Ovis aries: one gene and its partners. The protein of the gene in region 1 interacts with the protein of each later gene in a pairwise test. Links are inferred from orthologs where the notes say so. Each region holds a gene or a part of one and is shown on either strand. Other genes may lie near its edges.

Evidence for each region.
Region 2: the proteins of TUBGCP4 (region 1) and GFAP interact in a two-hybrid assay, tested with the Homo sapiens proteins (2 studies listed by BioGRID and IntAct). The two-hybrid records come from large-scale screens. The link is inferred for Ovis aries from reciprocal best matches to the Homo sapiens genes TUBGCP4 and GFAP.
Region 3: the proteins of TUBGCP4 (region 1) and SDSL interact in a two-hybrid assay, tested with the Homo sapiens proteins (2 studies listed by BioGRID and IntAct). The two-hybrid records come from large-scale screens. The link is inferred for Ovis aries from reciprocal best matches to the Homo sapiens genes TUBGCP4 and SDSL.

What each region holds. Positions count from the first base shown.
Region 1 is NC_056071.1:52,946,155-52,956,253, reverse strand, and holds the start of TUBGCP4 (gamma-tubulin complex component 4), read right to left. Parts: upstream 5,720-10,099; 5' UTR 5,455-5,719; coding exon 5,377-5,454; intron 1-5,376. Other genes in the region: ZSCAN29 (zinc finger and SCAN domain-containing protein 29), read left to right, coding at 6,864-7,178, 7,577-7,781, 9,735-10,099. UniProt on the Homo sapiens protein: Component of the gamma-tubulin ring complex (gTuRC) which mediates microtubule nucleation.
Region 2 is NC_056064.1:44,348,103-44,358,040, forward strand, and holds the end of GFAP (glial fibrillary acidic protein), read right to left. Parts: intron 9,095-9,938; coding exon 8,969-9,094; intron 8,809-8,968; coding exon 8,588-8,808; intron 7,808-8,587; coding exon 7,764-7,807; intron 7,410-7,763; coding exon 7,290-7,409; intron 6,049-7,289; coding exon 5,963-6,048; intron 5,352-5,962; coding exon 5,310-5,351; 3' UTR 3,768-5,309; downstream 1-3,767. Other genes in the region: CCDC103 (coiled-coil domain-containing protein 103), read left to right, coding at 48-479; Ig-like V-type domain-containing protein FAM187A, read left to right, coding at 1,775-3,034.
Region 3 is NC_056070.1:61,082,945-61,093,043, forward strand, and holds the start of SDSL (serine dehydratase-like), read right to left. Parts: upstream 5,423-10,099; 5' UTR 5,356-5,422; intron 1,186-5,355; 5' UTR 1,165-1,185; coding exon 991-1,164; intron 704-990; coding exon 664-703; intron 1-663. UniProt on the Homo sapiens protein: Catalyzes the pyridoxal-phosphate-dependent dehydrative deamination of L-threonine and L-serine to ammonia and alpha-ketobutyrate and pyruvate, respectively. Also exhibits racemase activity towards L-glutamate and D-glutamate.

The DNA of each region.
Region 1 (10,099 bases):
TGAAGTCAAAATAGGAAATAGCCAGATCTGCAGCAAAATCATTCTACTATTAAACTCAAGTGTTGACAATTTAGGTTTAGCAAAACAAAAAAGTATATGCTGCATTAGCTCAATGGTTCTCAATTGGGGCAATTTTGCCCCCAAGGGATAGGGTAATGTCTGGAGGTATTTTTGGTTGCCAGGGGTCCTTATCGGCATCTAGTGAGTACAGATCACAGATGCTGCTGAACACTCTATAACGCACAGGACAGTCCCCACAACAAAGAATTATCCAGTCCAAAATGTCAACAGTGCCAACACTGAGAGGCTGCGTCAGATTGTCAATGTGAATTTATCAATTTGGTAGCATTATTTACTTTGTAAAAATAATTGGGTTTACAGTTGTTCAAGAACAATATGCTTGAGTTTATACTTAGCTTCATGTGTGTACATATTCTATATTACAATAAAATTATTTTTATCAACACAGAACATTCATGACAATTTTACCCTTAATCCAAATGTGAAAAACACTGTTTGAAGAAAGTATGCAATATTTGCTGGTTTGGGTACAATTTTTTCTTTCGTAAGTGTCTTTTTAATTAAAAAAAAATGTATTTGGCTGTGCTGGATCTTAGCTTCGACATGCAAACTCTTAGTTGTGGCATGTGGGATACAGTTCCCTGACCATGGATTGAACCCAGGCTCCCTGCATGGACCATCAGGGAAGTCCCTCACAAATATCTTAATACCAGTATGTGGCAGAAACTGATAGGTGCTTCTGCAACATCTGTGAAGACCACTGGGGCCTTTGCCCCCATCGGCAACCTATGTGAGAGAAAGACTATACGTGTAGGTAACAACAATCAATCATATGAATTATGATGTCCTCTAAGGGAAATAAGTTGCTGTGATGGAAAATAAAGGCATTAGAAGTATACTTAAAGAGGTGGTTAAAGTTTTTCTTAGACGGTAACTTTAAAACTGAGAACTTAAAGAGGAAAATATCCAAATGAGGCTTTTTATAAGAAAAACAGAAACACAGCTACTGCTCCCATCTCCTGTTGTCTCTTTCTGCCTCATAGTCGAGCGCACGCAATCGCTTCCTGAGCCTTTTCCTCCTACATGCCTGGCACTGTGCTAATTTTACAGGTGCAAAGAAATAATAAGAGGAATCTGTTTGATTTATAAGTTGTAAAAACCAAGAATGTAATTCTTCTGCTCCTCCACAGCTCATACTACCGATTCTCATACAAACAGGCATGACTTTGTGATCAGACAGAGCTAGATTCAAATCTTGCCTTTTTAAGACTAGCCACCATAAAGTCCTCTGAGCTCCAGTTTGCTCTTTTGTAAACTGGGGCCAACAATACATAAGTTACTAAGTTATGGAAATGATTAGATAATATTACTGGAAGCAGAAGTAGAAAAGAGTGGTTCAAACACTGAAGTCAGACAGACCTGGGTTCAAGACCCTAAACTTATTATTCTCTATTAATCCCTGACGCTGGGAATTAATCTCTGATATGGAGATAGGTGGTTGTGAAGATCAAAGCATACAGGTAAACCATATATAGAGTATATACATAGTCCCCTTGAACATCCCTGGATACACGAAAGGCCTCCCTGCTCCAACTTCTCTGAGTGCAGAAAATTTTCCGGCAAGGAATAATAAGGAAAACACCCACTTTTTCATTCAACAAAACTGGCTGAATCCTTATTGTAAAGTGAAAATGAAGTCTCAGTCGTGCCAGACTCTACGACCCCATGGACTGCAGCCTACCAGTCTCCATCCACGGGATTCTCCAGGCAAGAATACTGGAGTGGGTTGCCATTTCCTTCTCCATATTGTGTATTGCCATGCCTGCGGGGCAACCCAAGACGGGCAGGTCATGGTGGAGAGGTCTGACAGAGCGTGTTCCACTGGAGAAGGGAATGGCAAGCCACTTCAGTATTCCTGCCTTGAGAACCCCATGAACAGTATGAAAAGGCAAAATGATAGGATACTGAAAGAGGAACTCCCCAGGTCATTAGGTGCCCAATATGCTACTGGAGATCAGTGGAGAAATAACTCCAGAAAGAACGAAGGGATGGAGCCAAAGCAAAAACAATACCCAGTTGTGGATGTGACTGGTGATAGAAGCAAGATCCGATGCTATAAAGAGCAATATTGCATAGGAACCTGGAGCGTCAGGTCCATGAATCAAGGCAAATTGGCCAAGAGATGGCAAGAGTGAACGTCAACATTCTAGGAATCAGCGAACTAAAATGGACTGGAATGGGTGAATTTAACTCAGATGACCATTACATCTACTACTGCAGGCAGGAATCCCTCAGAAGAAATGGAGTAGCCATCATGGTCAACAAAAGAGTCCGAAATGCAGTACTTGGATGCAATCTCAAAACGACAGAATGATCTCTGTTCGTCTCCAAGGCAAACCACTCAATATCACAGTTATCCAAGTCTATACCAACCAGTAACGCTGAAGAAGCTGAAGTTGAACGGTTTTATGAAGACCTGTAAGACCTTTTAGAACTAACACCCAAAAAAGATGTCCTTTTCATTATAGGGGACTGGAATGCAAAAGTAGGAAGTCAAGAAACACCTGGAGTAACAGGCAAATTTGGCCTTGGAATGCGGAATGAAGCAGGGCAAAGACTAATAGAGTTTTGCCAAGAAAATGCACTGGTCATAGCAAACACCCTCTTCCAACAACACAAGAGAAGACTCTACTTATGGACATCACCAGATGGTTAACACCGAAATCAGACTGATTATATTCTATGCAGCCAAAGATGGAGAAGCCCTGTACAGTCAACAAAAACAAGACCAAGAGCTGAATGTGGCTCAGATCATGAACTCCTTATTGCCAAATTCAGACTTAAACTGAAAGTAGGGAAAACCGCTAGACCATTCAGGTATGACCTAAATCAAATCCCTTAAGGTTATACAGTGGAAGTGAGAAATAGATTTAAGGGCCTAGATCTGATAGAGTGCCTGATGAACTATGGAATGAGGTTCGTGACATTGTACAGGAGACAGGGATCAAGACCATCCCCATGGAAAAGAAATGCAAAAAAGCAAAATGACTGTCTAGGGAGGCCTTACAAATAGCTGTGAAAAGAAGAGAGGCGAAAAGCAAAGGAGAAAAGGAAAGATATAAGCATCTGAATGCAGAGTTCCAAAGAATAGCAAGGAGAGGCAAGAAAGCCTTCTGCAGCGATCAATGCAAAGAAATAGAGGAAAACAATAGAATGGGAAAGACTAGAAATCTCTTCAAGAAAATTAGAGATACCAAGGGAACATTTCATGCAAAGATGGGCTCGATAAAGGACAGAAATGATATGGACCTAACAGAAGCAGAAGATATTAAGAAGAGGTGGCAAGAATACACGGAAGAACTATACAAAAAGATCTTCACGACCCAGATAATCATGATGATGTGATCACTAATCTAGAGCCAGACATCTTGGAATGTGAAGTCAAGTGGGCCTTAGAAAGCATCACTGCAAACAAAGCTAGTGGAGGTGATGGCATTCCAGTTGAGCTGTTTCAAATCCTGAAAGATGATGCTGTGAAAGTGCTGCACTCAATATGCCAGCAAATTTGGAAAACTCAGCAGTGGCCATAGGACTGGAAAAGGTCAGTTTTCATTCCTATTCCAAAGAAAGGTAATGCAAAGAATGCTCAAACTACCGCACAATTGCACTCATCTCACATGCTAGTAAAGTAATGCTCAAAATTCTCCAAGCCAGGCTTCAGCAATACGTGCACCGCGAACTCCCTGATGTTCAAGCTGGTTTTAGAAAAGGCAGAGGAACCAGAGATCAAATTGCCAACATCCGCTGGATCATGGAAAAAGCAAGAGAGTTCCAGAAAAAAACATCTATTTCTGCTTTATTGACTATGCCAAAGCCTTTGATTGTGTGGATCACAATAAACTGTGGAAAATTCTGAAAGAGATGGGAATACCAGACCACCTGACCTGCCTCCTGAGAAATCCGTATGCAGGTCAGGAAGCAACAGTTAGAACTGGACATGGAACAACAGACTGGTTCCAAATAGGAAAAGTAATATGTCAAGGCTGTATATTGTCACCCTGCTTATTTAAGTTATATGCAGAGTACATCATGAGAAACGCTGGGCTGGAAGAAACACAAGCTGGAATCAAGATTGCCAGGAGAAATATCAATAACTTCCGATATGCAGATGACACCACTCTTACGGCAGAAAGTGAAGAGGAGCTAAAAAGCCTCTTGATGAAAGTGAAAGAGGAGAGTGAAAAAGTTGGCTTAAAGCTCAACATTCAGAAAACGAAGATCATGGCATCTGGTCCCATCACTTCATGGGAAATAGATGGGGAAACAGTGGAAACAGTGTCAGACTTTATTTTTTTGGGGCTCCAAAATCACTGCGGATGGTGACTGCAGCCATGAAATTAAAAGATACTTACTCCTTGGAAGAAAAGTTATGAGCAACCTAGATAGTATATTCAAAAGCAGAGACATTACTTTGCTGACTAAGGTCCGTCTAGTCAAGGCTATGGTTTTTCCTGTGGTCATGTATGGATGTGAGAGTTGGACTGTGAAGAAGGCTGAGCGCCGAAGAATTGATGCTTTTGAACTGTGGTGTTGGAGAAGACTCTTGAGAGTCCCTTGGACTGCAAGGAGATCCAACCAGTCCATTCTGAAGGAGATCAACCCTGGGATTTCTTTGGAAGGAATGATGCTAAAGCTGAAACTCCAGTACTTTGGCCACCTCATGCGAAGAGTTGACTCATTGGAAAAGACTCTGATGCTGGGAGGGATTGGGGGCAGGAGGAGAAGGGGACGACCGAGGATGTGATGGCTGGATGGTATCACGGACTCGATGGACGTGAGTCTGAGTGAATTCCGGGAGATGGTGATGAACAGGGAGGCCTGGCGTGCTGCGATTCATGGGGTCGCAAAGAGTCGGACATGACTGAGCGACTGAACTGAACTGTTTGTATATTAGGCACTGTGTATTTGGTCTAGCTTTCAAAACTCAGTTTAAAACGTTGTGCAAGCATGAAGATGGGAGAAAGGGCCTCTCTCAGTTTTACATCTAGTTCTCTAGCAACTCTCGCCCAGACACTTTCAACCTTAGGCCTGGTCCGGGATTCCCTCCTCCCCTAAGGCAGAACCAATAGGGATCCACCCTTCGCTTTCCGCCTAGGCCCAACCCTCTCCAGGTGTCTAAACCATCCGTAAGCCCCTAGGGCACAGCCCTCAGGTTACCCGTCCAGGGATACGCCCCCCACGCCTTGGTCCTTGCCAGCCCCGCCTTCTTGCTCCCTCAGACTCCTCCTCCCAAGCGCTGGCTCGGGTCCACCCATTCCGAGCTCGCCAGTTCCCGCGCTCCGAGCCGGATAGTACCTGGAGGCCACTCCGCTTGTTCCAGGTGAAAATGGACCCTGGGTACCCGCTCAGAGCCAAGAGCAGTTCGTGGATCATTCCCACGGCGGACCTCGAGTCCCTATATCCGTCGCGCCCTCCTCCAGGGCCTCAGCTGGCGACCAAGGAGGCGAGCGCTCCCTTCTCTATGCGCGCACAGGTCTCCGGGACGCACTGTTCCTCCTGACTTTACCCGCCGAGACAACTGCAGGGGAGACCGGACGGAAAGCAGCCGGCGCGCCGCGTCCCGGAAGTGCGCCGCGCTCGGCTGGGCCCCCTCGCCGGCGGCAGCCGGTGCCCCGCAAGAGTCGCGGGAGCTGCCCTTGCGCATGCGCCTTTGGCTCCCGAGGCACCCACTCGGACTTCCGGTTTGGAAGCTGGACTGGGAGGCTGGCGAGCCCGGGCTGGAGCCAGACCCTGACTGGGTGAGGCTGGCCGGTGGGCAGAGATGCGAGCGGGTTGAGCGATAGCCTGAGTGGGAGAAGCTCTCAGGTGTGGGCCACAGGGTGCTCTCAGGGCGCCTTAGTCCGGTCGGAGGCCTCCGGAGGGATTCATGACGGCTCCGAGTGACCTGGCCGGAGGGAACGAAAACAAAGAGGCCGGAACCCCGCACCCGCCGCTCCTAGACCTGAGCTCCGCGCTCGCGAACCTCGCAGCCCTCGGAGCGCCTGCCCACCACCCGAACTCGTCCTCAGGAGACCCATGACTACTGCCCCTTCGGAATTCCTCTCTCCACCAACTCAGTGTGACTCTCCCCAAACCCACTCGGACCTCGCTTCAGGAGCCAAAATCAACTTCTCTCAATGCGCGAGGTTTCCCGTCAGTAGTTCCCGGATGTTTACTGAGCGCTTACTTCTGCTGTGAGGGAAAACAGAGACCCAGTATTTAGTACTTGATTTTTGTTTGGGGTGGGAATTGGTAGTGGTGGAGTCTCAGGGAGCGGGGCGGGCTGTGAGGGCCTGGGGAAGGACAGTGGAGAGCAGCTTGCTACCCGCTGGACAGAGGCTTTGTTACCTTCAGCAGAATGGTGACCTGCCTTTAGAACCTTCCGAGCTCCAGGTCTCCCAAATGGTTCGAACTCACTGGTTAGGGGAGCTCAATGGGTCAGATTTGGGGGCGGCGGAAGAGTAGACAGTACTTTTATCCTTTGCTGCTTCTCCGGGCTGCCCTGGATGTCGGCCAGAGATGCAGCCTTTGAATGGCCTCTCACCTTCAGGCTGTTTTGACTTCCTGACCTGAAGCTGGTGCTACCTCAGATGACCACTTGGAGCATATGGGCAGTCAGGCCAGCTCTGGCAAGACCCTAGACATACATTCCTTCTGATAGTGCCATCTCTCTCTGCCCTAGGAGGAAACTGCTTACAGAGACAGACTCATCTGCAGGTGATTCCCCAAGGACATGGGAAGATGGGCCTAAGCCCTGGAACCTAGACCTTTAAGTGAAGGGAAGCTGCTTCCTGCTGTGAACCATGGCCAAACCCACCCTGAGAGGGAATGGCTCTAACTCTGAGGCCTTCCGACAGCGCTTCAGGAAGTTTCATTATCAGGAGGTGGCTGGGCCCCGGGAGGCTTTCAGCCAACTCTGGGAACTCTGCTGTCGTTGGCTAAGGCCAGAGGTGCGCACCAAGGAGCAGATTGTAGAATTGTTGGTGCTAGAGCAGTTCCTGACCGTCCTACCTGGGGAGATCCAGAACTGGGTACAAAAGCAATGTCCAGAAAGTGGAGAGGAGGCAGTGACTCTGGTGGAAGACTTAGAAAGAGAGCCTGGAAGACCTGGACATTCGGTGAGCAGGGAGGGGGAATTCAGAAGTATGTGACTGGGAAGGGGCAAGATAAAAGGCCAAATTAAGGCACAGTCTCTATTAGCGAAGCTCCTACAAAAGGTAACTTTTTCAGACAGCTTATTGGGAGATGCCACCTGAATGTAACTTTTTGACATAATGAGAGGGGAATTCTTTTTTAGTGTGGAATTGGGTTTACTATTTTGTTCTGGAGTTCCAGCTGCTCTAAGCTAACAGTAATGGAGTAAGAAAGACCCTTGTTCTATTAACCAACCCCCCACCACCACCCCAACCCTAGCCATGTCCCAAAAGGATGATCTCTTTTGGGATATTAACTAGACTCCTCTGGGAATACCCCTCATTATGACCTTGCAGTGACAATTCATGGGGGTTGTTTCCAGGTCACAGTCTCTGTGAAGGGGCAGGAAGTGCGCTTGGAGAAGATGGCACCCCTGAAATCATCACGAGAGTTATTAAGTGTTCGGCAGGAGTCAGTGGAACCCCAGCCCAGGGGTGTACCCAAGAAAGAGAGGGCAAGAAGCCCAGACCTGGGACCACAGGAGCAGATGAACCCAAAGGAGAAGCTCAGACCTTTTCAAAGGAGCGGTGAGGAGTAGATTCATCTGGGAAGATAGGATGCCGTTCTAAGTTGGGAAGTAGGGTTGGGAGCAGTGAGTGGGAAAGGGATTTCAGGAATGAGTGGAAATGGAGCATGCAGCTGTTGGGGACCTCCTGAAGGCAAGTAGCTTAGCTCTCTGTTGCAATAAGTATTCTTATACTTCCTCTTTTGATAAGTCTGCCAGAGAATGGCTCTCTATAGTTTTTACCAGGACTTGGAATTTCTTTTCTCCTGGTAATGACACTAAGTCTGAATTTTCTAGATAAAAATTCTTTTCTGTACTTGGCTTATCTTCCCTTTAGTCATTTTCTTTCTCCATATTAAACTAGATTTGTTTCTTTAAGCTTTTCCCCAGAAGCTCCATTCTTCAGACCTACTAAGTTTTTGTTACTCTCCTTTGGAAAATTCTTCAAACATCATGTTAATTGTGGAGAATTAAATTATATATATTATTCCAGTGAGGGTGTGGCAGGTAGAGGCAGACTAAGAATTTTACTTCAGAATTTCATTATACTTTCTTTCAGTATAACTCAACTAATGATTATCATTCACTTGATACTCCCAGGTCTCTTCCTGATTGTCTTGTGCCTGGTTCTTAAACTTGGTTTTGTGGGACTTGTTCTTCTTCTTTGTGCTCTGCTGAGCTCCATGTTGTATGTTGTTTTCCTTGAACACTTCAAGTTGTTGAGGTGGTTTTGAATTCTGATATTATCATCCCAGACACCAGCCTTCTCAGCCAGGCTGGTAGTGGTCTCTGTCTAATCATCCAGATGCAGTCCCTCAACCCCACTTGCAAAACTGATCTGTTTTTGAACACCTACCAACATGCTCAACACCATGCAGGGTCCTTGGAACGAGGAACGGTGCCTCTCAAAGAGTCTACAATATGATTGAGAATATTAGAGTTAACGTAAATATGTGAATTGAACTGTATTCAGACAGTGCCAAACCATGACTTGTTAGTTGTGTGAGTACAATAGGGGTTGGTAGAGTAGGAGATGAGGGAGGGCTGTATGGAAGGCTTCAGGGGGGCACTAATGGGTTAAATTTGCATGGAAAGGAGGGAGTTAAAGGCAAGGCAAGGCAGAGTGGTGAATGTGTGCTGCGTTCTGGAGAGAGGAGTCTGGTCTGAACGTGCTGTGCCTGTCAGGCACTCAGGTTAAGGTTTGGCAGTACAAACAGCACGTGAGCTGATGAAGCAAGAGCCCGGAGTTAGGTAGAGCAGTGACTGCTGCATAACCCAGGTGAAGGAAAATAAGAGGTCCAGACTTAGATGGTGGCAGTAGGAATAAAGGATATACTGAGGGAAAAGCCTCTAGAAGTTACTGACTGAGTGTGAGAGAAATGAAACAGCTGAAGACAGTCTCTTCCTTGCAATCACTCTTGAGTTTAATTCTCTAGTCCCAAGTAGAGAACCACAGCTGACCCTTGAACAACATAAGTTTGAACTGCACAGGTCCACTTATACACAGCTATCTTTTCATAGTAATTACTACAGTACTGTAGTTGGTTAAGTCTACAGATGTGGAGGAACGTGGATACAGAGGGCCTACTGTGAGCTCTACTCGGATTAACAGCCCCCCTCCCCGCCCCTGTCTTTGAAGAGTCAGCTCTCTAGGAGGCAGGAAGTGACTGTTTTCAGCAGTGCCAGGACCTGCATACAAGTAGTCTGGAGAGCTAAGCAGTAACTTGGAGCAGAATTATCTGCTCTGAACACACAAGAGGATGCTTTCCTCTGTCACCCTGCTCTGGGAAGTATTTCTCATTGTTTGAGGTTTTATGTATTTTCCTCACATTCTTCAACCCACTGATCTTTCTGAAAACATTTTCTTACTTTTCTTTATAAGCTTCTTGGATTAAAAAAAAGCAAGTCTGAACTCAGATACTTTTTTATGATGATTCCAAACTATGATATCCTTTGTTTGCTTCCCTGCAAGCAGGATTTCCATGTTCTAAATCCAGCATGGTCTCCAGCTTGGAGCAAGGAGAGCCATGGATCCCAGATCTGGGCTCCAAGGAGAAGGAACTCCCAAGAGGCAGTCACACAGAAGACAGACGAATGCCTGCTGATCTGTCACTGTCCAGAAGAGAGAGAAGCAGCTGGGTGGACCAGGATCACCGGGGCTTTGAAGATGAGAAGGTGGCAGGTGTGCACTGGGGCCATGAAGAGACCAGAACTCTCCTCGCAATTCTCAGTCAGCCTGAGTTTTATGAGGCTCTCCGAAACTGTCATCGGAACAGCCAAGTGTACGGGGCTGTGGCAGAGCGGCTCCGGGAGTTTGGGTTCCTCCGGACCCTGGAGCAG
Region 2 (9,938 bases), on another chromosome or scaffold:
GCAGCTGGAAGAGCTCTGGACTCTCTTTCCTTTCCTTTGTGGTCCAGGAGAAAACGCTCTTCCAGCCTGAGACCTCAGCCGAGTTCTACCGTGACTGGCGGCGACACTTGCGCAGCGGGCCAGAGCGCTACGAGGCACTGCTGCAGCTCGGGGGCCCGAAGCTGAGCCGCCTCTTCCAGATGGACGTGGGGTTTGGACTTCTAGGAGAGATGCTGGTGGCACTGGCCGATCATGTGAGGCCTGCTGACCGCTGGGCAGTGCTGGGGATCCTGCACAGCCTGGCCAGCACTGGGCGCTTCACCCTGAACCTGAGCCTGATGAGCCATGCAGAGAGAGAGAGCTGCAGAGCCTTGTTTCAGAAGTTGCAGGCCATGGGCACCCCCAGTCCGGAGGGGCAGGGTCTGGGGGAGCAGCTGGGTGGGCTTCAGGAGGAGGAAGGTCTGCTGCAAGAGCTGCTGATGCTATACCACCTGGGCTGATGGGACCATTTACCTTCAGAGGCCCCCAGTGGTCATCAGAGGCATTTTTTGATTTTTGGGGGGACTCTGCAGGACTCTAATCAGAAACCCACACCTGATTCCCATTTGGATTTAGAATTTTCACAACCAAAGCAGGAACTGAATTTTCACTTTTCCCCCAGCCCCTTGGGGGCTTCATATTCTGAACTTTGTAGATCTACAGGATGGTCAAGGGCCAAGCTGAAAGACTTTTGCTTCCCACCCTTAGAGTCTGCCAGTCTGCTAGCCCATGGCCCTGAGATATGGGTGAGCACCCAACGAAACACTGGTACCACCCATTGCAGCCTCCGCTCAAAACAAGGAAAAAACAAAATTGTTAATCCTCCATGGTTAACAAATACTGATCTCCATAGGTCTTTTTTTAAAGTTGATTTTTATTGGAGTATAGTTGCCTTAAATGTTGTTAGTTTCTTCAGTATAGTAAAGTGAATCATTTATACGTATATCTATCTATTTATCTATCTATCTATATATCTTCTTTTTTGATGTCCTTCCCATTTAGGTGACCACAGAGCATTGAGTAGAGTTCCCTGTGGTACACAGTAGGTTTGCATTAGTTATCTATTTTATACATAGAAGTGTACATACGGTCAATCCCAATCTCCTAGTTCATCCTCCATAGCCCTTAAACAAGAGTATTCGTCACCAGAAACCAACGAATGGACATTTAGTCAATAAATGATCAAATGCTACCTCATTTGAAGTGGACTATTTTTCTCCAGGGGCTGAGTTCCCATGAAGGTTGGGCCTGAGAAAGCCCCAAGCCTTCAGCTCAGGCCTGGCCAGCCTCCCAGGTATATTCAGATGGCCAGATGTGCAGGTGGGAGGGTTTCCTTCAACCCTCAGATTATCCAAAGGAAAGATGTTTGCAACCAGGCCCGCAGGCAGGGCAGAGCCTGAAGCAGAAGGGCAGAGATTTTCCCGAACTTGTACCTGGGCCCTTGTTTCTCCTCCTGGCTTCCCCTGACCCACTGTTCTAGAATGCTAGAGTTCTAGAAAGGGGAGAGGGAGCCAGATTCTAGAATGGTTTTCTCCTCAAGAGCACATCTGGAACATGAGAAGGGCATCTTGTATGTTAACTAGGAATCAATTGCCTTGCCTATGGCAGCTTCCTCTGCAGACTGTTGCTTCTTTTCCTGGCTGCTTAAACCTTTCCTCATGTAGATGCCTCCTCCTAGCAGTGATTTCTAGAAGCCCCATAGGCCTTTAGTGCCTCGGGTTTGCCCTGCCCCCTCTGACCCTTCCCTTGCGCAGGCATGAACCTGGCCCACACCACTGTGCTCCTGTGGGCGTGGGGGAGCCTCCAGGCCTTTGAAATAGTGGAGAAAGAGAACATCTTTCAGAGGACCCCCTGCCCAGCTTTCCTGATGTTTGACAACGCGGCCTACCTGGCCGACATGAGCTTCGAGCTCCCCTGCCCCTGCAAGCCGGAGGAGGTGTCCGCTGTCGTCTGGTACTATCAGAAGCACCTGGGCAGCAGCCACACCAAAGTGCTGACGGACTTCGATGGGCGGGTGCTGACGGAGGCAGCCCAGGTGCGCGTGGGCAGCGACATGCTGGTCCGCTTCAGCATCCGCATGTTCAGCCTCTTGGTCTTCCGGGCGCAGCCGGAGGATTCCGGCTTGTATTTCTGCGGCACCCGCAAGGGGGACTACTTTTACGCCTACGACGTGGACATCCAGAGCAGTGAGGGGATGGTGGCTACCTTCAAGGACCAGGGCCAGGAGCCCTTGGAAGACGAGTACCACGGGAGCCTCCGCGTCTTCACCACCTTCTGGGAGTGGACCCCCTGCGACCGCTGCGGGGTGCGCGGGGAGCAGTGGCGTATCGGTCTGTGCTACCTGCAGAGCCCGGACCTCTCTCCCCGCTACCGCAAGATACTGCCCAACGTGGTGTCTTGTGGTTCGAGGGCTGTGCCCAGGCAGCTCCGGGCCAAGGCCAGCAACCACAACCCCGAGCTGCTGGTTCGGAGCTGCCTGATGCCCTGCGAGAAGAAGAAGAAGGTCCAGGAGGGCGTGATGGCCATCTTCAACTATGTGTCCAAAGTGGGCAGTCGGCCCTGGTTGCCCCAGGTGCCCATTCAGTTCCACCAGCAGAGACTGGGCCATGGACTCATCATCTCCTGCCCCGGAGCCCGGCCAGAGCACGCCGTGGCCTGGGACAAGGACCACCAGTACCTCTACCGCACGCAGTACCTGAAGGGCGTCAATGGATCCATGAGGGTGTTCATCGACCACGGCAACCATCTCCACATCCGCTTCACCCAGCTGGAAGACCGGGGCATCTACTATTGCTGGAGGCAGGGCGATCGCATTGCTGGGTTCCGACTGGGTGTGACATCTCCAGGTCGCTATCCGGTCTCCTTCTCCGACCCCGAGACTCGAGCCGCCCTGGGGCTCATTCTGATAGGCTACATGCTTATCACGGTCATCTTCATCAGCATTCACCTTTGTCGTTGCTGCTGTTACTTATTCCGTTTTTGTCCCAACTTCTCCCCTAGGCTCTCTCTCCCCTAGCTCTGAAGACCAGCTGTGCTCAAATGTGTTTGTTAAATGGTACCAGATGCCTCCGGTTGGGGGTGGGGCATGCGAACCTGCCCCCCATTTTCGTGAGCAAGTCTAGAACCTCATCTGGGAAGCAGGGAAGCCTGAGCAGGTGGGAGATGGGGAACTGAGTCCAGGATGGAAGTAGTCGGAGTACACGTCTTCTGACTTAATGCTCAGAGAAGGAAGAAGTGAACCTAATATTTATCATCTATCTGGTGTTGACTGTGTTTGATGTGCTTTATTTTCTTGCCTTCATGGATTGCCAAGTGGGTGCTGTTTGAACTGAAGGTAGCAGAGAGAGGAAGAAAAGAGTTGGGGTACCTAGTATATATATCCTCTTTGCCTTCTTTCCCAGCCTCATCCCGGAACCAGCAGGTAGAAATGGTGAGTTTGAGAATAAAGGTAGAGACCAGGACAGGAGAAATGGGTGAGGAAAGTGGAGACTGAATTCAGGGCTTTCCTGAGAGATGGCACCCAGCCTGGGGCCGGAGGTGAGGAGCCAGAAGCAAAGGCAGTGGGTGTGTGGGGCACCAGGGCTGGAGAGCAGAGCAGGGTTGGAGGCAGGATTTGTCATGTGGCCACTTCTGGGGATGCTGGGGGCCCCAAGACGATCAGTGATAAGAAGCAAGTTGTGTCTTGCCTGAGGCTACTTACTGTCCTCTGCCCCAGCCTCAGCCTCCGCTGAACAGATCAGAGTCCACTCTGGGGAAGGCCACAGCAGTCGTCTTTATTTGTTGCATTTATGTCAGTGACTAAAGCTCGTGGCAATGCCCTGAAGGTTAGCAGCAGTGGGTGGCACGAGGGAGTAGGGGAAGGGTATGCAGTCAAGTCCCTCTGACTTGGAGGGAGATGGGGACCCTGGGGTGGGCTTCGGAGCCCCACTTGTGGGCACTGATCATCTCATGCCCATCAGTCTCCCTGTGAACAGCAGAACAGGTGCTCAGGGTGAAAGTGTCTGCCCCAAGCTTTCCTGCCTCCAGGCTGCAGGAACACAAACCAGTGTCTTCACTCTGCATGGGCCTCGGGTTCCAAATCATAAAATAAACTGCTACCTAAAACATGGAGGGGGGGGTATGTTTTGTATTTGACTAAGAGGGGGCTATAGGGGCCTTGGTTTAGGGAAGAGCAGTGATCACTGTGGGGAGAGGACGTTGGGTCACAACAGAGGCTTCGCCTAGCAGTGTTTCCTGGGGTCAGGTGGCAGTTGCAGGGGCTCACAGGCCTGGGTGGACAAGGTTTACACAGCAAGGAAAGGTCCTTGAGAGCTGGGACAAAGCAGGCCCCACTCCCATGAACAGCAGCCTCTTCCTTTCCTGTGTCAGCATCTTCAAGAGGATGACTCACTTTCTTGATTTCCACAACCCAAAGGCCAAGTGTAACTGCTTACCCACGACCCCCACTCTGATGTCTAGCATCATCCCAAGCACTGCCCCCACCATCTCTACCTGCCCACTCCAGCCTGTATCAGAGTCCTCCTGGGCTTGACCTCTCTGTACCCACAGCAATGGGCAACGCCCCCTTCTACTCCCTCCCAGCACCCCTTTCCTCTGCACTTACACTATACTTCCCCCAAGCATGGAGAATCAAGCTCCCACGGGCCCACGGCATGCCCACGTGGCAGCTCAGTGGGGCTGAGACACTCGACACATTGCTCAGGAGGCCCCTCTGCAATCTGAGCAGGCCAGGAATTCTGTCTGCTGACTCTCCCAGTTGGCAGGATAGCCCCACCCACCCTCAGACTGGTCAGAGTCAGTCTAGAAGAATAAGCCTCTGGCCAAGGCCACCTTGCCTTGGGGACTTCCTCTGCTTGTCTCAGACTCTCAGTTTTCCTCCAGCAGCCCAAAGGCCCCATTCCCAGATACCCCCAGATACCTCCAGCTCTGGCAACAGTTGCCATGACAACAGAGGTTCGCGATACAGAGGGCAGGGTGATTTATGAGGTCTCCCCGCTTTCTCTCCTCCCTCCCAATTCTAACCCAAGCTGCTGGCCGTGCCCCTCCAGGCTGCCCTTTGGGGTGAGTGCCCTGTTAGTGTTGCTGGGTGTGGGGTGGGTGCTGTCTGACAGGCTTAATGCTGATGGAGCCTAGGGTGGCAAGCTGGCATAGAGATGGAGCAGGAAGAGGAGCAACTGGATTGGGTGGGAACTCAATTCTGGGGAAATTAACTAGCAGAGAAGAGACAGCTACCCCGACTCCTGCTGCAGACGCCTCAAACGGTGGGGCAGTGACCGCCAGATGGGTCCTGCTCACATCACATCCTTGTGCTCCTGCTTGGACTCCTTAATGACCTGAAGGGGACAGAGAAGGTGCCATAGTTAGGAGCTCACACAGACTCCAGGTCCACCATGGCTAGGCAATGTGACCTGGGACAAGTTCCCAGCCTTTCAACTTTTCTATGATAGTAACCAGAATGCCGCCACGCAGCAGAGGGGGAAACGAGCTAATCCTGTCAAACATCTGGCAAACATCTGCCTGGCACATGCTGAGCTGCTGTTGTAAGATTAGCTAATTCTGCTGGTACGGTGGGGAGGGGATATGCCCAATCTCCTCTTCCCATTCTTCTGCCAGGTCCCTTTCACCAAGCTGAAAGTTGAACGTTGGGAGTGAAAGTTACTAAATTTAATTTTCATTCTGTCTCCCCCAGGCCTGCTGTGGGGGCACCTGAGTCTGAGGGTGAGAAAGGGAGAAAGAAAGCCAGAGTCAGGACCCTGACCTGTGGCCTAAGCATCTAGGCTCCCCTTAGTGTAGGGACTGGGGAATGGAATTATATCTGGGCTCCTTCCCCTCTTCCAGAGCCTCCCAGAGGAACTCTTGGGAGTTATGGAGAACCTTCTATATGCCAGTCCAGGCTTTCTCCCAGAGCCTGCTGGGGCCAGAATCTTGGGCCTGCCCTCCTCACCTCTCCATCCCGCATCTCCACGGTCTTCACCACAATGTTCCTCTTGAGGTGGCCTTCTGACACGGACTTGGTGTCCAGGCTGGTTTCTGCAGACATGAGGAGAGGAGGCCTCCATAGGCTCTCAGGGCCCTAGACATCCTCTCCCACCCTTGGTTTCCCCCTGAGACCCCTAATCGTGAGTACAAAAGCCTATCCAACCAGAGAAGTCCTAGGCTCTCCCAGAGGGGCTGGCAACCTCCTAAGTCCCCACAGTGCCAAGCAAGCCCTCACTTCCCTGCTTGCTGTCCTGGCCTGGCTGCATTTCAGCCCCTCTGCAGTTCCTCACTTGGCCCCTGGCTCCCTGACAACCCAGTATCACACCAAGGAAAGAGCATGTGGTTACTGAAGTCAGGCAGGCCAGAGCTCGAGTCCCAGCTCAGCCACATGACTGTGGGTAAGTTAATTTACCTCTTCCAACCTCAGTGTCCTCATCTGCAAAATGGGGATACTGCTGCCTACTTCTCTAGGTCGAAGTAGTGAGTTAACTGAAACAATGTGTGTAAAACAATGGGCACGTATTCATGTTCCGTACACATGGGTCCCTCTCCCGTCCCTCTTCCCTTTTCCTGCCTCTCTCTGCCACTTCTCTAGGACCCTTTTCTGTCTGGCATGTGGCAGTATTGCCTCTACCTGGTCTGCTGGTTAACTCTTCTGATACTGAACTAAGCCCTCGGACATGCATAGCTAGTGTTCCTAAATTTCTAGTCCAGAAGAATTATTTTTTCCCTCAGCTGAGAATTATTTGAGGGCCACATACAAGTAAGAAGCAATTTATTCCCCCCTGCAGAGAGAAAAATGTAACATGTCACACTCACTAATGTTTAATATTAAGAGCAGGGGACATAAAACTTTATTCACTCCAAGAGCAGCAGTCTAGAGGGAAATAATCCTCTGGGCTGAATCAGCCCTGAGCTGAACAACCGAGCCTCGGGGACAGAGGAATCAGGCCAAGAGCCTGGCTGCCAGGCACCGTGAGACTCTAGGGGCCCTCCTGGTGATGGGGAAGAGGTGAGGCAGAAGCTGGTGTTTGCTCAGAGGCCCAGAGCATCTGAGCTGAGTACCCGAGGACTTAGCACCTTGAACACTGGCCAACTCTACTACTTTAATGTACATTTACCCTGTGCCAGGTCCTGGACTGGGCGCTGAGATTGCTGGGGAAATGACACAGGGTTGGCCCTTTAGGGAAACCTGGGAGGAGGGAGCTCAAGAAGATGGGGAAAGTGGGCTTGGTGAGCTTGCTCCCTATTAAGGTGAAAAAAGCACCATGTCTAAAAGGCAGGCAGCTAACCGAGAGCCGGCGGGGCTCCATCTACAACCTGGTGAGCCTGAATTGGTATAACTTGTATTGTGAGGCTTTTGAGATGTCTTGTGACCTTGTGACTTTCCCCTTCTTTGGTGCTTTTGCCCCCTGTAGTGACAAGCAGTTAAAAAAAAACACACAAACATCAAACACTCAGCTGGACAGGGATCTGCAGACAGGTGAGAGGTTAAGACCCTCACTCAGTTCTGCAGTGGAATGGGGAGTAGGCATGGGAGGAGGGACAAAGGGCAGAGCAGGACAGGAGTGGCTGCAAGCCCCACCTGGAATGCTCTGGAATGGTGTGTTCTGGCTGGAAGTTCTGCCATGAATATTGAAGGTCCCCACAGAGAGCACTGGGCCCCTCTGCCCTGGTCCTCGGGCTCAGACCAGAAGAGCAACCCACAGGCCTGGGGAAGGGGGCGGGAATCCAACACTCTGCCCACAAAACCCTGTTCTACTGACCTCGGATCTGCAGGTTGGAGAAGGTCTGAACAGGAATGGTGATGCTGAAAGACAGCAGAAGGAGAGGGGTGACCAGCCTGCCAGAGGACACTCCCAGGCCAGATCCTGGTCCAAGGTCACCATAATAGCTTCGAGGCCCTCTTCCTTGCCAGGAAAGGCGGACCTCCATCTCTTAGCTTCTCCAGCAGCCAACACACTCCCCGCGCTGTAAGAGCTCTGGGGGAACACCTCCACTCAAAAGAGAGTGAGTGCTCTGAGGATGACAGAGGGGAGGGGAGAGCAGTGAAGAGAGTTCCCAGGAGGCAGAGGAGATTGGTCAGCAGAAAAGAAGTCCAGTCTTTGTTGGGAGGGTGGGGAGTGAGCCTTTTAGTTTGGAAGATAACCCAAGTCCTTACCCTAGGATCTGATCAACATGGGCTGAATTGAATCCATCCATTCATTCATCAGGCATTTATGAATACCAACTGTGTGTTAGGTGAGCACTGTGCTGGGCGCTGGGATAGGAGGGGGCTGGTCACGAGGCTGAATAAGACAGTCCCTGATGGGGCTTCCCAGATGGCGCAGTGGTAAAGAACACACCTGCCAAAGCAGGAGACACAAAGAGACGTGGGTTCTATCCCTGGGTCGGGAAGACCCGCTGGAGAAGGAAATGGCAACTCACTCCAGTATTCTTGCCTGGGAAATCCCATGGATATAGGAGCCTGACGGGCTACCATCTATGGGAGTCGCAAAGAGTTGGACATGTCCGAGCACACATGTATTCGTGAAGGGAGCAAGGCGACTCTGGGGCGGGGCAGTAGGGCAGGCGGCCGGTCTGGGCTCACCGGTTCTCCTCGCCCTCCAGCAGCTTCCTGTAGGTGGCGATCTCGATGTCCAGGGCCAGTTTGACGTTGAGCAGATCCTGGTATTCCTGCAGGTGGCGCGCCATCTCGTCCTTGAGGCTCTGCCCCTCTTCCTCCAGCCGGGCCAGCGCCTCCTGGTAACTCGCCGCCTCCCGCGCGTGGCGCTCCTCTTGCTCGCGCATCTGCCGCTCCAGGGACTCGTTCTGTGGGTGGAGCCGGACCGTTCCCCGAGGCCCCGCCCCAAGAAACTTTTCAGAGCTCCGCCCCGAGCCAGTCCTTCAGCGTCTGCTAGGGCTGTAGGTCCCAGGTTCCCGGCTCGCTCACCCGTACCCCTCCTCCGCCTGCGGCCCCGCCCCTGCTCACCGTGCCGCGCAAGGACTCCAGGTCGCAGGTCAAGGCCTGCAGCTGCCGTCGGTAGTCGTTGGCCTCATGCTTGGCCTGGCGGAGCAGCTCCGCGTTGCGGGCGGCGGCGTCGTTCAGGTCCGCGAACTAGATGAGGAGAGGGCTTTATGCTGGAAGGCGGTCTGGGGCCGCATATCGCGGGAGCTTAGTGGGCTCGGGGGGTTGGTACGCGGTCTGGAGGATCAGGGAGATGGGCCGGACGGTACGGCTGTTTTCCAGCCCACCCCACGCCACTGGCACTGGGTGGGATTATTCACAGTCACCCGTGGCCCATGGACACAGACACAGACGACATTGCTACTTCTCTAGCATCTAGCTCAGTGCCTGATGAGGGAACGCGTGAATGAGCAGAGGGTGTCACAGAGCCCAGACTCTCCAGTAGCTCCATCCTCGGGACTGAATCCTGTCCTCCTAGGTCACACACAGGGAGCTCTGGTGAGCAGAGACCAGGTTCTAATAACCCTCTCTCCTTCAGCCTGCTCTGAATCCCTCATGGTTCCATCACGCCTTAACCTGCTCAGAACCATCCCTGACTTCTGCCACTTACACTCCTCAGCTCCATGCCCTGGGCCAGGATCTCCGGGCCCCCACTTTTCTGTGCTTTATGGCCTCTACTCAGGCTGTGTCCTGCATGCCCTTCCTGAATGCCCTTTCTCTCTTCTCTGTATGTTCGTAGGCTGCCAGTCCCGCCTGGCCCCACTGCCCTCCCATGAAATCTGTCCTGCTTCCGCGTTGCGTGTAAACCCTGCCCTGCTGCGTTCTTCACAGACATCAAGCTGAGTGACATCACATCCCCCTGGTCAGACGTGTCTCTGTATGCAGGGCAGAGCCTGGCATGCAGCAGATACTCAGTAACCCAGGATGCAGATGGCAGAAGCATCAAGAATGTGGGCTTGGGACTTCCCTGGCAGTCCAGTGGTGAAGGCTCCAC
Region 3 (10,099 bases), on another chromosome or scaffold:
GCAGTTGCTAGTCTATTGACACACTATTCTCCTGCCCGCCTGCCCTCCAATTTTCCTTTGGGAGTCACTCCTTCCTATGCTTATGTGCCCACCCATTGGCCCCAGAGGTGGACATGCGATCTAGGTGGAGCCAATCAGAGAACTCAATTACCTGAACCATGATTCATTCAGGGACGAGCGCATGATACAAGCTGGGCCAAAAAGACCAATTCATAGATCGAGGAGACCACGGGGAAGGGGTCCTCCCCTTTCCCTACGGTTGGCAGGATGGTAGGAGGCAAGCCTAAAACTCCCGATGGCCATCAGGCAGTCCATACGAGAGAAGAGTTAGTGTAGAGGGAAGGCAAACCAAGAGAAGGAGAGACACAGAGGAAACCACCTGGGTCCAGCTGTGCCTAAACCCATTATCCCAAGAATTCTTTGATTCTTGGAGTCTGTAATTTAAACCTGTATGAATTGGGTTTCCATCACTTTCTACCAGGGGGCTTGAACGATGGGAAGGGAGCAGGACACACAGAGCAGCCATCTGCCATGACCTTGATAAGACTGGACCTTTAACAAGAGGCCAAGCCCTAGACACCTCCTGCAGCTCCAACTCCTCCTCCTCCACCATCACACCCAGCCCCCGAGGACCCTCACGAAGTAGAAAGGGGGCAGGCTTACCTGAGGAACACACCAGGTGTCTGCATCCCTTTTTGGCCACCTAGGAAGACAAGGAACTTGGGCGGAGGATGACCTGAGCAGGTGTCCTGGAGCCCTGGGGGGGGATGTAGTTAGACTCTCCTCATCGTAGCCCACTCCAGCATTCTTGCCTGGAGAATTCCATGGACAGAGGAGCCTGGCGGGCTACCGTCCGTGGGGTTGCCAAGAGTCGGAGCGACGAAGCACAGCGCAGCATACCACCACATCGTACTCCAACTCTCCCCACCCCTCGTCCCGCCCACAGCACTCCCCGGGTCTACCACCTCACTCCTCCCCTCCTGCCCTCACCTCTTGGCAGAAATGCCCGATACCGCGGATCTTGAAGGAGCCCGTCGGCTGCACATTCTCATACTTGAGGAAGACAGGCATGCCGGCCACCTGGGACAGCGCCCAGCTCTCCAGCAGAGGCGTGACGACGTGGAAGGGCTCACCCTCGGCACATTCCTCCAGGGGGCTCTTCATCTCGGCAACAACCTGGAGGGCCTGCAGTAGGGCAGGAGCGTCACAGCCCAGGCGGCTCCCGCCCAGAGTCCCTCTAACTAGGACCGGGGAGGGGGAGGGAGAAGCCCCCTGGCTTGGCTCCCTTCATCCCCGGTGGCTGCCAAGCTGTGAGGCTCCAGGCAAGTGTCGGCACCTCTCTGGGCCTCAGTTTGACCATCCAGTCAAGGAGATTTGTACTAAGGGCACTTTTCTTCGGTTAATGTGGATGCTACAGCGCAAGAATGGAGAACATGGCCAATAGCGGTGATGAATGCATGAGATTTTATGCAGTCATCATTCATTGATTCAAAAAAAAAAAAAAAAAAGACATTCCCGAGCACCTACCGTCTGCCAGGCATTTTCAGGGTTAGGGACCCAGGAGTGGACAGGTCAGAGGCAGCCCCACGTTTTAGTTGGGGAGAGAGAATCAAAGAATTGCAACCTGGAATGACCTAGTGGGGAAGGCACTATTTTATCGAGGGTAGTCAGGAAAGACTCTCTCCCAGGAAAGAAACTTAAAAAAGATTTTTTTGCATTAAGGGGACTTCACTGGTGGGACTCTGCACTTCCAATGTAGGGGACAGAGATTCTACCACTGGTTGGCAAACAAAAAGCCCGTATACCTCAGGGGAAAAAAATTAAAACCTTGTACTATGGAAAATTTAAACACAGCAAAAGTGTCAAGAACCATCTGATGCAGCCGCCACTCAGCTTCAACAGTCATCAGCTCATGCCTGGCTTGTTTGTTCCATATCTGTACCCCTCCTCCTCCCCATATTATTATTTTTTCCACCTTTATCATTATATTTTCCTCCCATATTATTTGATCTGGAAATATTTCAGCATGTAGCTATAAAATTAAAGAACTCTTTTTAAACATTGTAGCCACAGTTTCAGAGCAGTATACATTTGTCCAAACTCTTCAAATTCTAACCTTGAGTAAGCTAATTTTATTTCATGGAAATTAGACCTCAGTGATGTTCATTTTTAAAAATGTAATCACAATACCATTATCACATCTAAAAATATTAACAATCATTTCTTAACAACATCAAATATTTGCTAAGTGTTCAAAATTCCAATCGTCTCACTAAATGTGATTAACAGTTGGTTTTGCAGATGGTGATAGTTAAGGTTTTAACAGTTTGAATCGGGTTGCAGAAGGGAGCTGTGCATTTTGGTTGGTCGAGAGATAATTTAATTTTCTTTTGATCTGCAGCTTCTCAAAAGGGGAGGGCTTCCCTGGTGGCTCAGTGGTAAAGAATCCGCCTGCTAATGCAGGAGACGTGGGTTCAATCCCTGGGTCAGGAATATCCCCTGGAGAAGGAAATGGCAACCCACTCCAGTATTCTTGCCTGGGAAATGCCATGGACAGAGGAGCCTGGCGGGCTACAGACCATGGGATCGTGGAGTCAGACATGACTTAGCAAGTAAACAACAACAAAGGGGAAACTGAGATGAACAAGAAGAGAAGCAAGGGAAAAGCATTCCTGCAGAGGGAACAGCAGATGGAGCCACCGCTTGAGGGAGATGAACTTGGAGTGTTCCAGGCGCTGATGAGACAAGGGACTGGGTAGAGGTGAGAGTATTAGTCAAGCAAAAAAGGTGCTTAGTCTTGTGAGAACTGGACTCTAAAGAAGGCTGAGCACCAAAGCATTGATGCTTTCAAATTGTGGTGCTGGAAAAGAGTCTTGAGGAATCCTTTGGACTGCAAGGAGATCAAGCCAGTTGATCCTAAAGGAAATCAGCCCTGAATATTCAACTGAAGGACTGAAGCTGAAGCTCCAATACTTTAGCCACCTGATGCGAAGAGCCGACACATTAGAGAAGACCCTGATGCTGGGAAAGATTGAAGTCAGAAGAAGAAGGGGGAGACAGAGGATGAGATGGTTGGATGGCATCACCAACTCAATGGATGTGAGTTTGAGCAAACTCTAGGAGATAATGAAGGACAGGGAAGCCTGGTGTGCTACTGTCCAAGGGGTCACAGAGAGTTGGGCAAGACCGAGGGACTAAACAAGGAGAGGTGAGCAGGGATGTTGGGAAGGGCGTTCCAGCCCACAGTGAGGAGTTGGGATATTATTCTATTTCTGCTTGCTATGGGAAGCCGCTGGGAGATTTGAAGCTAAGCTGCGAGTGAGTGAGTGAGTGAATGAACCAGTGTGAAAGGGCAAGAAGCAGAGAGGGAGGAAATTAGAAGGGAGGGAGAGTATAAGGGGTTTTTTGTTTGTTTATTTTGTTTTGTTTTTTTAAGGAGTAAACGCTGTTTTTCCTTTGAGAGGGAAACGAGTTGGGCCGCCCTTGCAGTTCCACTACTTGCCACTAGGGGGAGCGCATCAACCTCCATCAGCTACCACCAGCTCAAAGCTTCTAGTCCACACTTACTAAGTCAGGACTGGGCTCCCCACATCAGAGGGTTCCAGGTCTCTGATCCCTGAATTTGACTCGGAGTCCTTGCTGGGATGGCCCTGAGATTCCCCAGGCAGAGAAAAGCCTGAAACACTTCCACCCAGCTCCATCCGGGAAAATTCATGGCATTAGGGGAGAGCAGCCGCTGGGCCACCCAAATCCAGCAGGCCCAGCCCTGGCTTCACCTTGGCTCCAGAGCCCAAGAATTTGAGTTTTGGGGTGAATCAGAGGGAAAAGTTAGAAACTAGCTATGACTTCCTGGCTGTGTGACACAGGCAAGTGTCTCAACCTCTCTGTGCCTGTTTTCCCTTCTAAAATGGGAATAATAACATCCCAACTCACAGGTTAGAGTGCAGATTTAACCACTCCAGTATTCTTGCCTGAAGAATCCCATGAACAGAGGGGCCTGGCAGGCTACAGTCCATGGGGTCACAAAGAGTCAGATATGACCGAGCAGCCCAGTGCAATAATAATAACAGATATTCTTTGTTGAGTTCCTATTATGTGCCAGAAATTGGCTGAGTCTTTTGGAGGTGTCATTTCCCTGGGGTCTTCTAACGATGCCAATATGCTCATCCTTACTCTAGAATGTTTACAAAGCCCGGACCTAGGAACCGGGGGGTATCATGGTGAATAAGACAGACATCTACTCTTGGAGGGAACTTTATAGTCTTATAAGGGGATAATGAAGATCCCACATGTTGCAACTAAGACCCGGTGCATCCAAATAAATAAATTAATTTTAAAAAAATTTTTTAAACCTGAGACCTAAAAAAATGAGAATGAACTAACCACACAACAAACTGGGAGAAGAACTTGGGCATCACAGGACCACTGTGAGGATTAAGCGAGGTCTTACGTTAAATAGTAAAGACATCAACTCTGCCTCACGCACAATAACAGCTAATAGTTATGTGGGAATTACTGTGAGCCAGGCACCATGTCAAGCACCTTATAATAATTACAACAACCCTGAGATAGGTTCAATTATTAACTCCACTTTATAGACAATGAAACTGAGGCTCAGAGAGGTTAAGTATTAATAACCAGCCGAAGGTCGCACAGCTAGAAATGGCATGGCCAGGACTCCAAGTCAGGCAGTACAAGTTGGCATCTGTGCCCTTCCCCACCATGCTGTACTTTCTCTTTTATAGTAGCATTATCATTATGATGAAAGATGTGAGCATTTAGCACTTGACCACCGGTTGTCTTTAAAAGCAAATGCTGCTGGCTCAGTCCTCAGGCTCCTCAGCCCTCTTGGTTAGACTGCCCAGAAAAGAACAGCAGGCATCAGTTAAATGAATGAGTCCCAAGTTGCCAACAGCCTTATCAAGCCCAGACGCCCATGAGGGCACCTGCTACATCTATGGATTTGGATAAAGACCAGCTAACTGCCTTTTCCACTTTCTTCGTCCTTCAGCTTTTCTCCAGAGGCCACCCGGGTGACACTCTGCAGCCAAATTGTTGACGCCAGGGTTGGGAACCTCAGCACCTCTTAGTTGCCAGAATGCCCAGCCCTACCACCCTGGAGCCAGGGTGGGCTCCCCAATCTTCCAGGTCCTGGGCCCCCAGCCTTCTGCTGCAAGGCAGACAGGCCACAGGCACCCAGAGCTGAGCCTATGGGAGGACTTCGGACAGCCTCACTCTCCCACTTTCTGTCCAGCCAGCTGGGACTTGGCTCCAGAACCTTCCAAACAAACCTCTACTCACATTCACAAATGCACACCGAGTCCCAGGGCCCTACTTGGGCCCAGACCCACTTACCTTCCTTCCCAACAGTTCTCAGACCAGCTCAGGGCCAGTCCGCTGCCCACCGGCCTTCCTGAGCACCAGCTGTGCCAACTCCCTGCAGCCTCCTGTGGCCTTGGCCCCTCCCCTCGTGGTTAAAGGGATAGCTCTCCACTGGAGGAAAAAGGGGACAAGATCAGCCTTCACTGCTTCTCGGTTTGCTGTCCCAGACATGTGATGACCTGGCCCCATTTTACAGATTAAAAAAAACTGAGGCCCAGAAATGGGAATTCACTTGGCCAAGGCCACCCAGCCAGCAAGGGTCACCCTTTACCCCTCCCTCTGGATCACCTCTACTGTGACATAGACACCTCCAAATCCAGTGCTTGTCCCAAATGCCAAGCCACTTCCCCTGGACCACTGTCAAGGTCAGCTTAGGTCTGAGAAGAGAAAACAAGGATAAAGAAACAATTATTATCTGTCTCATGAGAAAGGCATATTTCCTTCTGAAGTTCCTCCTCATCTCTGATATTTTATGCCCAACACTGGGACTCAAACAATTATTTATTGTTCAAATGAATAACTCTGACAATCGATTCATTCATTCCAAGAATATTTATCGGGCACCGACCCTAGATCAAGCCCTGGGACCATTAGCCTCAAACAAGACAGCATGTCCCCTGCCCTCAAGAAGCCCCAAAGGGGGACTTCCCTGGTGGCCCAGTGGTAAAGAATCTGCCTTGCCATGCAGGGGACGTGGGTTCGATCCTGATCAGGGAAGTAAGTAGTTGCCTCATTGCAGCTACTAAGTCTGCACACTCTGGAGCCAGTGTGCCACAATTAGAGAGGCCTTGGGCGAAAACCAAAGATTCGCATAAGGCAGCTAAGACCCGATGCAACCAAACAAAATAAGTAAGCCCCAAGGGCCACTGAAGAGCAGCTGTGATCAGCTGTCAGATGTTGGCAGGAAGTGGGGAGGGCCAGGGCTGTGGGTGCCCAGAGCAGGTACCTCGCCTGGCCCCTGGAGGCTGGGAAGGCCTCGTGGAGGAGGAGACTGAGGGAAACCAGGAGTCAGCAACACAGAAAGCAAAGGTCAGGAACTGACAAAATGGGATGTTCCAGGAACAGATGTGCGCAGTAGGGCTGGTACGGAAAAGGCAGGAGAGGAAGTGTGTCTGCGGCTGGAGAGGCGGGCACAGACCAGAGCCCACAGGATGCCCCTACCAGTGCAGGGTGTGGACCTCACCCGGGGCCCTGCCTTAGACAGGGGAATGACAGGATCAGATTCCTGTCTTGTCTCTATCAGCATCTCACTGGGTGATTCTGAGCTGGTCACGTCCATGGCGTAGGCGGGCGGCGGGAAGGTTTAGTTCCCCTATATGTCAGACTGGATGTGAGGTCCAGGAAGCACGTAGCAGCCCAGATGGTCTGGGCCCTTCTTGGCCTGAGTGTGACGTCCCCGGATTTGATGATTAACTCCCAGGCCCTTGGGGGTCAAAGTGAATTGCTTGGTCATGATTCTTGAGAATGACTTTAGCAATTTCATTGCCTCCTCACACTAAGCACACGCCATCCTTGTCAGATGTCCTGTCCTGGAAGGGGAACTGGGGACACGGAGGTGGTAAAACCTAATTTATGCCCTGAAGTGGCCCCCAGCCTGAGGGGAGAGGAAGATACCAATTCAGTGACAACCCTAACATCCCCTAAGAGGACATAGAACAGAAGGTCCCCAAAGGGCAGCTGAGGGTGGGGTGTGATCAGGGAGGACTCCCTGGAGGAGGGGGGCCTTAGCCTACATGCTCAGACAAGAAGCATGACAGCCACATTCACTGTAGGCCCACTGTATGCCAGCCCTTCTGTGTTGACAAGAGATTCCCATAGGCTTTTGTTTGTTTTATTTGTTTGTTTGGCTCCACTGCCTCTTCATCTGCGTGTGTGGACTTTCTAGTTGCGTGTAAGGGCTTAGTTGCCCTGCAGCATGTGGGGTCTTAGTTCCCTCTCAAATTTTATTTTAAGAGTTGAGTATTTATGTCCTCTGTGTGTGTGTGCATAAGATAATATCCAGAATTTTATGGATATTATCGCTTAGAAAGAAGCTAAGACAGGTATTAAAGTTTTAAAATGGAGTTTGTTGTTTTAAAAACTACGAAGTAGTAGCAGTAAGTTTCTGGCATGAAGAGGCAATAACAATTAGAACACAGACCTTGAAGCCAGACTCTAGTACAAATACCAGCTTCGCACTTACTGGTTGTGCAACTTTGGGTAAGTTGCTTAATTTCTCTGTGCCCTGTTTTCACAAGCGTTGTTATTGTTCAGTTGCTAAGCCACGCCCGACTCTTTGAGACCCCACGGACGCCGTGGACGCCAGCACCCACGTCCTTCCCTGTCCTTCACTGTCTCCTAGAGTTTGCTCCAACACATGTCCATCGAGTTGGTGATGTCATCTGCCGGGGTCCAGCCCCAGTGGATCCAGGGAATTCGAAGTGGGGACGGAGTCGGTGTCCTAGGAAAAAACTTATTTAACTACAGATATATATAAAGATTAGAAATTGATAGTGTAGTAGGAAATATTAGTGGAGAAAAAGAGGCTGAATAACTTGGTTTACGCGGAAAACTAATAAAACCTCGAGACAAGAGGTTTGCACCATCTACGTTAGGCCACCGGCGTCCACTTGAATAGCGGAGGGTGCCCCACCTTGGGCTCCCTCTCACATGGATCTTAGAAGCCAGGGCAAGTAAGTAGACTTGGTGAGCCTCCGCACTCCAGATGGGAATTCAGGCGGAAAGGGGGAGAAAAGAATGACATGGGGGAGCCCAGCATCGGTGCAAGACTCAAGACTTTATTTTTAAAATCAGCTTATATACCCCAAGTTGTACATAAACAAATAATGGAATATGCAGAATTATGCAGGGGCAGCAGTCCTGACCCTCACTGAGACCAGGCTTTCTTTTTGCATACCTTCCTGTATTCAAAAGATCTCAGGTGGTTTACATTATCTTCTGGCCAAGAGGCCTGTTAACATTTTTATGGCTCTCTTCCTAGATAAATGTCTTTCAACCAGAAATCTCTCTTTCCTTAGAAGTGTTTTTTCTTTACTCTGCATCACCCTCAAAGTACTAAATAAAGTTACATTCATGTAGAACAAAGGTGCAGTGGGTTATAACAAAGAAAGTACTTACCTCAAAGATCTAATGTTGCTAATGCCAGGGCCACTATCTGTTTTTCCTATACACCAACTATATCTACAAATAAAAGATATGGAAATTTGGCAGCAAGTATTGGGTCAACAAATGAAACCTTTAATCAGTCCTATTCTAATGATTTTGACTCCTCAGAAGCCCCTACATTCCTAGGATGTTTTAAGCTTCCTGGGTCTCTCGCGGTCCGTGCAGCTGTAAGAGTCCAGCAGGCAGGCTAGACAGCCATCAGAGAGGTCTTTGGATTGAAACACTCTTATTATGCCCAGGAGACTTATTATCTAAAAGCTCTAAATTAAATTTTTCCAGAAAAAGGCGGTGGGGGGACAGCCCCCTGTTAATGTCAGTAGAGTAGGTGGAAAGCATAACACAGTAAAGCAGGCAGACTCTGGTTTTTTGGGGTGGATGCTCAGGAAATTCCAGGGGGAACCCCTGAAGCCTGATCACGCCCTTGCGTTTTGTCAGGCTTCCTTCCTCATGACCTTTGCCACGGGCGGGATTCCTCACGCTGGCTCCCGGCAGTCATCCAACCATCTGATCCTCTGTTATCCCCTTCTCCTCCCAACCTCAGTCTTTCCCAGCATCAGGGTCTTTTCTTATGAGTTGGCTCTTCGAATCAGGTGGCCAGAGTATGGGAGCTTCAGCTTCAATGACAGTCCTTCCAATGAATATTCAACGTTGAGTTCTTTTAGGATTGACTGGTTTGATCTCCTTGCAGTCCAAGGGACTCTCAAGAGTCTTCTCCAGCGATTTGACGGCATCGGTTTTTCGGTGCTCAGCCTTCATTATGGTCCAGCTCACATACATGACTACTGGAAAAACCATAACTTTGACATTTGTTGGCAAAGCAATGTCTCTGCTTTTCAATATGCTGTCTAGTTTTGTCATAGCTTTTCTTCCAAGGAAAGATGGTGTTGGGAGCCAGCGTGAAGAACTCTGCCCATGGCAAAGGTCATGAGGAAGGAAGCTTGGCATACGCAAAGGTGTGATCAAGCCTCAGGAAACCCCCTGTTCCAGAGCATCTACCCCCAAAACCAGAGTACTTTATGGGAAGCTCTCCCCTATAACCATTTCTCTCAGAGAAGGAGTTAACTTGCAGCTCCAGTTAATAAAAATTCCTGGGCGTGATAAGAGTGATTCAACTTACGAACTCTGGAGGTTCTCTGGCCTGCCTGATCAGGCTCGTCCAGCCGCATGTGATTGTTTACAGCCTCCCAACTTTGAGAGGCATGGGATGTTTTAAAACTTTCTAAATACAGACTCTTTTGAGAAGTTAGAAGATCATTAGTATAGTATTAGTAGGCTGATTAGGAATTATATTGGTGAAGGGTTTTTTCATTTGTCCTGCCAATAATTACTGCTAATTCCCTGCCCTGGGTGTGACAAGGATGTCTCAGGTCAAACCTTTCTGCTGACAGACTAGCTTGTGTGACAGCCTCTCAGCCATAAACAGCACAGAGACTTTGGAGTATTAGCATAGGGGTTTTTTCATTGATGAGTCAATGATTGCCATCAGGCCTCCATATCCTTAGGCACCTGGGAATATATTAATCAATGTATTTGGAATATAGAAAAGGAAATA